3 linked regions of the Ovis aries genome follow. The protein of the gene in region 2 interacts with the protein of the main gene of each other region in a biochemical or structural test. Links are inferred from orthologs where the notes say so. Each region holds a gene or a part of one and is shown on either strand. Other genes may lie near its edges.

Region 1 (3,645 bases), on a different chromosome or scaffold from region 2:
CTCTTGACGTCCCTGGGTGCAGAACGCAGAGCGCTCTTCTCTACAAAGAGCTGCTTGGATGTTCTGGAGCGAGCTCGGTGCTGCTCTCTGCAGCTCTTAAACAAGAGGCTAGAGCTTTGTCGAGTGAGAGCTTTCTGCCTCTGGTTTGCTGGCTGCTGCTCTTCGCGTCTGATTTTGAAGCCAGTGTGACGTGTGGCCGTGCCTTTGCAGGTGTCAGCCATAAGGGGCCAACTCAGGTGTAAGACGGGCTTCCCTGGTGGCTCGTGGTAGGGAATCCACCTGCCAAGCAGGAGACCTGGGTCAGGAAGATCCCCTGGAGGAGGACATGGCAATGGTATTCATGCCAGGAACATCCCATGGCTGGAGGAGCCTGGTGGGCTGCAGCCCACGGGGTCGCAGAGAGTCGGGCGTGACTGAGCGGCTGAACAGCGGCAGGCGTGAGGCGCGCTACCCTCAGGGCTGCCGGCGGCCCCGCTGAGAGAGGCCCGCGTTGGCGCCCCTCTGCTCCTGGCGCTCGAAGGAAGCGTTCTCGGGCATGTGGCCAGATCCTTGCCTTTCTCTTGGACAGAGAAAGGTTGGCGGTGGGGCACGAAGGGGTCCTGAGCGTGCACCGGGTACGGGGCAGCTGCTGGGCAGTTTCTGCACGCGTGTCCTCTGGGCGCTGCTCTGTGCTTACAGTTGCCCAGGCCCCTGCCCCACGGTGGTGCTGAACGCTGGCTCTTGCTGCCAGCGCTCATCTGGGCCTGAGAACTGGAGGGGCTGCGTGCGGACTGACTGTCCGGGTGGTTTTAGGGCAGGAGTCCTAGATGCCTGGGCCTTGCTAGCTCTGGGCAGTCGAGGAGCGCACACCCTGTGGTACCCTCCTGGGCGCTGTGAGAGCAGCTGGAAAGCTCCGTTTCCCTGGGAAGTCCTCTGGCTCTCAACTGTTGATGACTAAGTCAGCATTTCCTCAGACACTGTGCCAGCCAGTCCAGACAGACCTGCCAGAAAGAGCGGGCCCGGAGGCCCCCAGTTTCAGGATGTTTTCACGGAAGGCCCCCACGCAGCTTCAGGATGTTGCCAGGGCCTGCGTCTCAGGGCAGTGATTCCCTGGAAAGCCTTTTTGTGGCCTCGCTTTCACGGTCCTGCTGCATCTGTGAAGCGGGCTGCTGACTTAGGCGTGCTGGGTGGTGGTGGGGCATGTGGTCCTGGCCAGACCCCCAACAGGGACTGAGCCTTTGGTGCCCTTGACACCCTGGTCCTTCACAGCCCTGGGAGGTGAGGAAGGTGTGGCTGCCCTCGTGCAGAGGGACTCGCCCTCTGAGGGGCCGCTCTGGCCAGAAGGGCCAGGGGCTTCTGTTGCACGTCAGAGTCTCCTTCTCCGCACGGTCCCACTGGGGCTCGCAGCTTGCTGGCCCCGAGGGCAGGCGTGCAGCAGGGGTGCAGGGGGCAAGGCCTGGGTGGTGCTCGGAATTCACCGGGAGGCCTGTTTTCCCCAGGTGAGAGGAAAGGGTCAGAACAGACTGCCGGACGCCAGAGCCGACACGTGTTCTGTGCAGCTGGTTTCTAGGAAGGGCAACGGGGGCGCGTGCGGGTGGGTCCTGCGGGTGGGCAGCAGGGCGCTCAGCCCGCCCCCTTGACGGCCTTGCAGACATCGGCCTGGGGAGTGACTCTGTGTGCGCCCGGCCCTCCTCCCACCGGATCAAGTCCTTTGACTCCCTGGGACCGCAGCCTGCGCACGGCCGGACTTCACAGTTGTTCCAGGGCCAGTACCGCAGTTTGGTAAGTGTGGACGGGGGTCCCGGCGGTGGGAGTGTGTGGTGGGCGGGGCTCGGGAGGCGCTTGGCACGGGGCGGGGGCCTGTGCTGCCTTGCCCCTGCTCTCGGGGCTGGCATTTGCTCATCGCTAGATTATCACGGGTCTCATGTCGCGTCGGCCTATTTCAAGATGCACCTCTGTTTATCTGGACGGACGTGGGCTTTGAAGTGTTTTCCTCGTTGCTTGCATGGTGTCTTCTTTCCTGCTCTACACATGATTAGAAGTTGGGGCACGAGAATCCATGTCTCATACTTAGATGATGACGAAAAGGCTAAACGTGGAAGACCCTCGAGGTGGTTTTTCTCTTTATGAGCGCGTGATAGCACACTGCGGAGTCCGGCTGCAGCGTGTGAGAGGGGCCCCCTCATGAGTGCTGGTGAGGCGGGGGCCCCGGGCTGGACAGACCCCACGAGACAGGCTGTGAGCACAGACCCTGGGAATGAGGCCTCGAGGACCGTGATGAACAGGGCCGAGCAGAGCCTGTGGGGGCGGCCGCCACGTCCGCTGGCCAGGGTGAGTGTCTGCAGGAGGGCCACCAAGCCCCCCAGGGCGGACGCTGGCCTGGCCCTCGGCTTCATCAGCCGCTGCTGTGACTCTGCTTCGTGTGACATCCTAGTAACCATTTCATGTTGGAAACTCAGCGGCCTTGTCATGTGAGTCTGAAGAGAACCTACCCTTCCAGTCTTCAGAGGCCACTGCTTTCTGCTCACCATAGGGGGATGCTGTTCCATAAGCACGTGGGGATCCTGGAGAGATAAAGCCGGCCTGGTTGAGCTGTGCCTTGTAGAGAGATGCATTTGAGTTAGGTCACGAAGCACTGTTAAAAATGGAAAACTGTAGAAGGGGTATAGTTTTTACACCTCTTGAACTGTTCGCGTTCAGGCTGACTCTCCCTCCTGTGTGCGTGACTGCCTGCCTTCCCCTCGGAGAAGCCCCGGAGCCCTGTCTCTGACCTTGAGAACAGCACAGCGCCCGTTGGGCGCGGTTTCTCGGTGCCGGCTGGTCAGCGCTTCATGGGGACTGACGCGTGTCACCGTCCACCTCCCCGGGGCTGGAGGGACTTAGGGGGCCCTGTTGGGAGCATCGTGGTCCAGACGAAAGAAGGAAGGTGTCCAGATCCCTTGAAAACAGCTGCTTCATGAAATACCCATGGAAGACACGCGAAAAGTCAGCAAGCTTTGGGCAGAGAAACCTTCGCTGCCTGACCCATTCACTTGAGGCTCTTCTCGTTTGCTTTTTTTGTTTGTTTTTGAATAAATGAGGATTGGATTGCAATTGAAGAATTTTACTCAGTTAAATGTCCTTTTATGATGAATGTTGCTGAGATCATAGTAAGTATAGGACTAGTGTTTCATTAGAGAAGTTTTGTCACACCAGAAATGGGAAGCCTGCGGCCACCTCAGCTGTGTGGTGGGCACGGTGAGCCGCTCGGAGGGAGCGTGGTGAGACTCCTCCTGACCTGAAGGGGAGGGTGAAACCCGAGATGAGACGCTCGTGACTGAAGCTTCCCTTTGCTGTGGCCGGGCCAGCAGTGGCGGCCCCAGGGAGGGCGGGCTGGCACGGTGTGGCCCGTGGTCCTCTCCCTGCCTTGGGCCCATGTCATCCTTCAGGGTTGGGGGCGCTCGACGGCTGAGAGTCTGCCTCAGGCGTGAAGGGTCCAGACCGCCCTGCCCTCCGCTGACGCTGCCCTGTCTGGGCCTTCGTGGAGTGTCGCTGCCTGAAGCGGGAGGTGTCCTGGTGCTGGCCTGGCTTGGCCTGTTGGGAGGCTGTGGGTCACGTCTTCTGCTGCCTCCTGATGGTGGGGCCCCATCCCACGCCAGTACCGCCCATGTGTGCCCAGCAGTTGGG
Region 2 (3,745 bases):
GAGATTTATAAGACAAATAGCCTAACTACCAATTGTCTAAAGACTATGATTTATTAAGGAGAACTAATAAAGTACGAAAAGACATTGAAAATAAAAATTCAGAGTCAGGAATGTCATGTTAAATTCTGAAAACAAACCTTGATGTTCATTTTTGAAGGGTAATTTAATTCCCTAAATTCATCAAGTGCTTTTACTTCAGTACTTTCAGCCGATTCAATGTATAAAGCTTTAAAGTATATCTATATTAATTTCACCAGTAATATGCATAAATTTGAAGAAGACAATATTTTCTTTTAAGTAGAGTATTAAAACATCCCTTTGATAAGATCAATGATAATTTAAATCAATAACATCAGTAGGCAAAGCATGGCCACAATATTTGTGCCAAACCACTATACTCTTTAGTTATATAAAAAGTTTGTGAATTCAGCACCTATTATATTATGAAAAAAAGATTTTGAAGGTGTGTGAAACTTGAGTTCTGACTCTGTTACTAGCTCTGTGGTCCTAAATGAGCTACTTACTCTGAGAAAAAAATATTCAGTGAGATTTCTGAAAGGGAAGCAGATTTCATCAAGAATCAAATGATAACTACACAAACATAATGCCTTTTGCAGGTTAATATACTGCGCTGCAACAAGTAATTCTATTCCATTAAATCACCAAATCAAAAGACAATTCCTTATTTTCTTCCATACTTTGTCTTTGGTACCTACTGGGCAAGGATATTGAATGACATTCATAACTACCCAAAACAAACATGTCTGGGATCTGGCAGTTTCTAAAATGAGGAAAAATTAGGAGGTGGGTATGTTGGAGACTCCCTTGGATTCTCAAGTCTAGCACTAGCTCCTCTGCAGACCAAGCCTACCCAGGGCCCAGTGTTCAAAGTTGTGCCTGGCAGAGGAGACTCTGCCAAGAACAGAATCCAAGGAATGGGGTCTGACAGACAATGCAATTTTGAACACCAAAGCAGAGGCGAGTAAGAAGGATGATGTGGGTGGAGAGCAGCAAGCACAAAAGGCCAGTGCGGGAGACTGAATGTTTCATAGGCAAAATTTCAGACACTGGGTGTTAAAAGAACAGTGTCTTTATCATGCCTCTGTTTTTTTCTTGATCTTATTTGCTAACAGCCTGAAAATCAATAGTCAGATGGGATATACTTCAATTGAAGAAAAATAAAAGTAACCATTTATCTCACATATATATATCTTCATATAAAAGAAGCTAGGCATATAGTTCATCAAAGCTAGACATAGCTGGACACAGAGATAAGCATAAGATAATTGATACGGACAGAGATTCAGATAATTCTTACATCTGTCTAGCCTCTCAAGTAGATATTAAGAAACATTGCACCTCGATAGAGTTCAAGGTTCAATTCTCTTTCCGTTTAGAATCTAACATGCAAATGAGAAAACTAGCACTACCCAAATCTCAAAATCTACAAAGAAGTTCCCCAAATCTCAAAATCTACAAAGGAAGTTAACCTTAAGCAGTAATTTTGTTTTGACGGTGTATCAGACTTAATTTTCGTCTTAAGGCTCCTTTTCAAATATATCTGATATATTTAACAAATTTCAGGGTTTCCTATGACACAGGTTCTAAAAGGTTCACTTTTACATTCATTTTATATAAAAATAGTTGAGAAGTACAGATTTAAACTTACAAGGGACTCCTAAAACATTACTCTCTTAAGATAATACAAGGTGTACTACAACTGAAGGTTAGAAATCTGTCTTCAAGTTTAAAAAAGAAACCCTTAAACCTATGAGTTTGCCAGTAACTTCAATTCATTAATTTAATTATTAATTCTATTACTGTTCATTATTCCTCTTTCCCAAACTATTCACAATGGTGTCATCTCTAGAACATGCTGTACATTGGGAAGAATCTTAGAATAATTTCTTTTAAACACTTAGGAACAAATCTAGCTAATGAAAGAAACCAAACCTCAACCCATTATTATTTCCCTCCCCTCACCATCCATATTCTGTCAGTTAATTATATAAAGTTACATCTTAATGATAATTAAGGAGCACAGAGTAGGCCCTCTTACACCGTTAACATTTGATAATGATTTAACAATGCTTCCTATCTTAAAACCACAGACTGGTTTGTCAGGACAAATCTCAGAAATAACCCTGAACTCTGGGTACAAAGTATCAGTAGAAAAACACCTATTTCCGAAGAAGGGGAAATGGGCGAAATGAAAGCAACTCTTTTACCTGCTGCACACTTGCGACTCTCATATACGAGTCCAAGACGATCAACAGAGGCACGTGGACATTTTTGTCTTGAAATAACTTGGAGGCTGGAAAAGAAGGGGGTTAAGGAAAAGGAGCAAAGTCACGATTCATGGCACCCCTTTTAAGTCTGAAGAGGAGGGAGAAAGCAGAAGAAGTGAGCGCAAGACCTTCCTAGAATTTTAGAATTGTCAGCTCTTGTTTGCCCCAAGAAGTAGAGAGCTTTCGACTTCTCAAGAGTGCAGGTCTGTGTGGCCACAAAGTTGGGAGGAGAAAGTTTGTTTAAAAGGCCTGGGAAAGCGGGAGGCGGGGGAGCGGGGCGGGTGGGGGGGAGCGGCGGGCGGTGCGGGCGGTAAGGAACAGTTTCCAGACAAAAGATTACCGTGATCGGCGTATGTAAACACCAGCATATCCTCCAGGATTTGAACCAGCGTCTCTATCTGTTTTCCTTCCTGGACATTGTTCAGCCTAACTATCAACTTCTTCAGAGATTCCTCGTCCTCCTCCTCGCACCCCTGGCAGCTGCCGCTGGCCATGACCGACCCTGCTCCAAACCGGCCGCCCCTCCCGCACTAAGGCAGGCCGCTCCGGGAAGGAAGGAGACGAGCCCAGCTCACCGGCCGTAGCCAGCACTCACAGCCAGCCGCATCAGCACCCACGCCCGCCTGTTTATGCGAAGGCGGCGGCTCCCGCCCTCTCTCGGAGCCCTCCTCCTCAGCGTCCTCCTCCCCCACGCAAGGCCAAAACCCCGAGCAGGAGCCTGCAGGAGAGAAGGCCGAGGTGTGGCCCAGCGCAGAACCTTGCCGGGTGGGCAGGACTCAGCGAGAGCGGCCCGCCCGAGTGAGGCCGCGCCCGTGGCCCCCGCGCGGCCGAGTCGAGACCCTGGGTGGGCGCAGCCTCCCGGGACCGGATCCCGCCTGCCCCGGTGGTGGGGCCGGGAGTCGCGCGGAAGAAACCGACTCAGCGGACTCTGCCGACCGCCCAGGCCCCTGGCACTTCAGAGGCCCGGGAGGCGTGCGGTCCTCACCCCGGGCCACCCCCTGACCCGCCAGCCTGGTCTCCTGCAGCCCGCGGAACCTCTGGGAACTAGGAAGAAGAAAGAAGCCGCCGCAGATCTCCAGATCCAAGAATATAAATCGGGGCCTTGGGAAAAGAGAACGCCGCCCAGTTGGCCCCTTTTAGGAAAACGTTCTCTTTGGAGTTCCCCCTATTGGGAGATGAGGAATTCCCACCCCCCGGCCCCCAAGGATGGACATAGTTAAGCAACCAAAATGTGCTTTTCTATGGTTGCTGCGACTTGTTTGTAGGAAAGGAGATAAAGACATTTTTCCTGTTAACTGAGTCTCTGTTGACCAAAAGGCCACGAAAATTAGCTTTTGAAAATTTGAGTTTGCACTAGGTAAGATTCTGAAAATTGGGGCACACCAAAAAGTAATGGATTCTCATTGCAATTGAAACTAAAGAGAAACAAACACATGGTAAATGATATGAACAGGTGA
Region 3 (3,645 bases), on a different chromosome or scaffold from region 2:
TAGAGGCAGCCCTCTCCCAGAGAGCCCCACCCGCACTCACCATCAGCTCCAGGTAGCTCATGCGTTCCGCGGGGTTCTTTCTCAGGCTAGGAGAGAACAGGGTAGGCTGGGGCCAGGATGGCAGGGAAGCGAATCCAGCCCATCCAGGCCAGTCAAGTCAGGCTGGGCTTGGCCCTGCCCAAGCAGCAAGGGGACACACATGCTCCCGAGGCTCAGGAAAGAAAGGGCTGAACTGTCCTGGGGGCTTCCAAGGGCAGAGTGGGATCCGTGGTGCCCACCAGAGAGACTGGACCAATAGTGACCTAGGAGATTTCCAACGATCCCAACACTAACATGCTACCACTAACCATCATATGCTTGGTGTCCTTAATCGAGAGAGGAAGCTCCTTACCATGGGTCCTGGGAGAGAATGATCCTGCCTGCCAGGCGCACCTGTTTTAAGACTTTCTTCTTTTCCAGTGAACGAAAGAAAGGCTGTGAATTCTCCCTTGAGCGTCTCTCCGGCCACAGCACATAGCTGTTGGTATGTTAGATTCTCAAGTCTTCACTTCTCACTACTTTATGATTGTATGTTTTAGATCTCTCTTATAACCCAAGAGTATACTAGAAGAATTTACTTTTAATTTCCTTGTAGCTTTTTTTCTCCATAGTTATGTATTTCCTGTTCCATCTAATTCCAGTCAGAGAATGTGGCCTATAAGACTCTGCCTCCTGCCTTTTCCCTTATTTCCTCTGTAATCTCAAACATAATTAATCTTTACAAGGATCTTGTGGGCATTCTTTAATGTGATACAAAATTCTACACATCAACAAAAGCAAATTTACTGTGTATTTAAATCCTCCATATACTCTTCATTTTCTTTTTTGATCTATGTGATCTGTCCGTTTCTAGAGGAACCGTATTAAAAACTCCTCCCAGGACCATAGCTTGTCAAATTATCCTTATACTCTAACTATTTCTGCCTTCTATTTTGATGCTGTTATTGGGGTTTGTCTGCTCAAAAAGGAGACCGGGCCCAGGGAGGACGGGATCTGGCCGGGGCAGGGAGGGGCACTGACTGGGCTCAGGGAGGCCCTCAGGTCTGAGCAGGGCTGAGACTCACCACTGCGCAGTGAAGTCCACAAAGTCAGGGGAGAAACGGTCAGCTGGGAGCTGGGGGGACGGCTCTTCTACCACCTGCTTCAGCTGCTGGAAGGGGGTCCCCCAGGACTCGTAAGGAAATCGCAGAATGGCCATCTCGATCTGCAGTGGAGATAGCACCCCTGGGTCAGAGACACCCACGCTCTGCACACGGAAGCAAAGCCTTCAAAGATCCTGCCTGTCCTGGTCCAGCATCCAGAGCTGGGCTGTGAGGCAGGTCAAGGGGCTGACAGGTGACATCAGTCCAAAGATGAAAGCCAAGGGGACAGAGGAGTTGGTTCTGTCCCAGCCAGCAAAGACTGTAGCTCATGATACACATTCAACCCTGGGTTTTGACTGGCTTGGCTATCGGGTTTTCAAACAATCTGAATTCAGAAGGTTTTGCATTAAAACCCAGGTTCCAGTTAACCTGGAAAAATCAGAGGGCTGGCAGCCTGGGGTGCTCCCGATAAGGCCACTGTCACCAAAGAGCCTGAGAAGAGTGATCAGCTTCGAAGTTCCCCACAGACCACTCCCTCCTCCCTAATGTCTCAGCAACACCTTAGCTTCTGCTGCCGTTTATGTGGGCTGTTGTTATTAGCGAAAAGGCAAGCAGGAAATGAAATGATTTTCATGAGCTTCAGGAGGAATGTTAGACTAAGAGGTTCATCTCCTGGACTGTGCAGCAATCCACCAGGCCCCATTAGGAAATGAAGTCCGCAGCCCTTCCTCCTCCACAAAGCCCCCACCACCCAGCCACCAACACCTGTAAGCCCATGTCCAACGCTTCCGCCTCCAGGAAGCCTTTCCACTCGGATGCTGTCACTGTTTCTCTCCGACTCCCTGGACACAGGGCTGCCACGGCCTCACCGCTTCCACCAGACCCAGATCCCCCTGTGCCCCGCGCCTCGCCTGCAGGAGCCATCTGTAGCAAAGAATGGCTGTCTCACCACAACCTCTGCTTCCAGTTTTGACTACTGACATGAAAATTCAAGTCCACTTCCCTGAGAAGCGATCACCACTGACATGAAAATTCAAGTCCACTACCCTGACAAGCGATCACCGTAATAAACAGGAGAGACCTCGTCTCAAGCAGACACACCAAAACAGGTCACTAGTTGTGCTCAGAAAGGACCTTCTCATCAGGCCCCAGGCTCCTTTCCAGCCAAGACACAAACAGGCCCACAGATGGAGGTGACACAGTGTGGCGGGAACGGCTATGACCCTGGATTTTCATAGGGCAAAGACAGCCTCCTTTTTTTCCTATAGTTTCCACTGACTCCGGCACACAGGAGTGAGGACCCTGCCTGGGCTGCAGAGAAGGATGCAGTGGCCACCAGAGCTCAAGAACAAAAACAGAGAAGTGTCCAAACCTTGGACCTAGTCATTCCTCTCCTGGTAATTTTTTCTAAAAGAGCTCAAAAAATGAAAACATAAGCAGCCTCTGGGCACAGAGACACATACTACAGCATTATCTGTGGGAGTAAACGTGGAGAAGCAGCAAGAACGAGCAGGGCAAGGCTGAGCCTCGCCACTGTCGTGAAGCCCTCGTGCACAAGGAGCCAGTTGGTCTTGGGCTGGCTGTGCATTCTCAGTGAGCACGAGCCCTGAGGAAGTCCAACAGGCAAGTGGTCACAGACGAGAGCGGCATAACGCTGCCCTAACCCAGGGAGGGCGTGAGGCACCTGCGGACACTCTGCTAAGGACCCCATAATCTTTGATGGCACTGTCTCTTCTCACATCGTGAAGCCAACCAACCCTTCTGTCCAGGCTAGACTATCTGGCCCCCAGAAGCTCACAGACCTGGCACAGCCCCCACCTGTGCTCCACCCGACCAGCAAGGGTGCCCCAGGACGTACCATGGTGATGCCGAGGCTCCAGACATCAGACTTGACATTGTAGCCTTTCTGGTTCAGCTCTGGGTTGATTCTCTCGGGCTGGAAGAGGAGCCAGAGCAGGGTCACCCAGGCCCCCTCAGCTGGGTCTGGTTGCCCCCCACAAAACGTAGGGGCCAGTGCTCACCCATCCTACCTCCCCCAGAGCAAGTGTGGAAGCTGAGGCTGGTGAGGGCCGGGGTCTCGAGGTGGAAGCCTAAGTCTTGCCACACAGCTGCCACACCTGGGGGTCTCACCTTGGGGTATCAGCAACTCCCACAGGCCCCACCAGCCACCCCGCTGAGGTGAAACCTATCATCCAAATGGACACGGTGGGGCCAGTCAGAAAGGGGTGGAGAGGGCTGAGCAGGAGACTCCCTCTAGAAGGAAATTCGGGGTCTGGGGAGGCCTCATTCCTGATGGAGCAGGACACAGCTAAGGTGCCTGAGCCTGGCTGTTTCCTCTGGGCATGACCTGGGCACCCCACTTACGGCCATGTAGGGTTTGCAGCCAGCATCCATTGTCTTAGCCACAGAATCCACCAAGTAACCACTGATCCCAAAGTCACACATCTTCACGTGGCCCTCCTTGTTGATAAGGACATTGGATGGCTTCACATCTGCCAGAAGTAGGACACGCCTTTCAGCTACT

Evidence for each region.
Region 1: of the proteins of LRRK2 (region 2) and ARHGEF7, one has a biochemical effect on the other in vitro, tested with the Homo sapiens proteins (2 studies listed by BioGRID and IntAct). The link is inferred for Ovis aries from reciprocal best matches to the Homo sapiens genes LRRK2 and ARHGEF7.
Region 3: of the proteins of LRRK2 (region 2) and MAP2K3, one has a biochemical effect on the other in vitro, tested with the Homo sapiens proteins (2 studies listed by BioGRID). The link is inferred for Ovis aries from reciprocal best matches to the Homo sapiens genes LRRK2 and MAP2K3.

The regions. Positions count from the first base shown.
Region 1 is NC_056063.1:84,836,424-84,840,068, forward strand, and holds part of ARHGEF7 (rho guanine nucleotide exchange factor 7), read left to right. Parts: intron 1-1,630; coding exon 1,631-1,761; intron 1,762-3,645. UniProt on the Homo sapiens protein: Acts as a RAC1 guanine nucleotide exchange factor (GEF) and can induce membrane ruffling. Functions in cell migration, attachment and cell spreading. Promotes targeting of RAC1 to focal adhesions. May function as a positive regulator of apoptosis.
Region 2 is NC_056056.1:147,019,597-147,023,341, forward strand, and holds the start of LRRK2 (leucine-rich repeat serine/threonine-protein kinase 2), read right to left. Parts: upstream 2,892-3,745; 5' UTR 2,783-2,891; coding exon 2,629-2,782; intron 2,492-2,628; exon of another isoform or gene 2,315-2,491; coding exon 2,229-2,314; exon of another isoform or gene 2,189-2,228; intron 1-2,188. Other genes in the region: uncharacterized protein LOC121819120, read left to right, coding at 2,918-3,508. UniProt on the Homo sapiens protein: Serine/threonine-protein kinase which phosphorylates a broad range of proteins involved in multiple processes such as neuronal plasticity, innate immunity, autophagy, and vesicle trafficking.
Region 3 is NC_056064.1:35,010,469-35,014,113, reverse strand, and holds part of MAP2K3 (dual specificity mitogen-activated protein kinase kinase 3), read right to left. Parts: intron 3,614-3,645; coding exon 3,486-3,613; intron 3,058-3,485; coding exon 2,980-3,057; intron 1,244-2,979; coding exon 1,104-1,243; intron 87-1,103; coding exon 41-86; intron 1-40. UniProt on the Homo sapiens protein: Dual specificity kinase. Is activated by cytokines and environmental stress in vivo. Catalyzes the concomitant phosphorylation of a threonine and a tyrosine residue in the MAP kinase p38.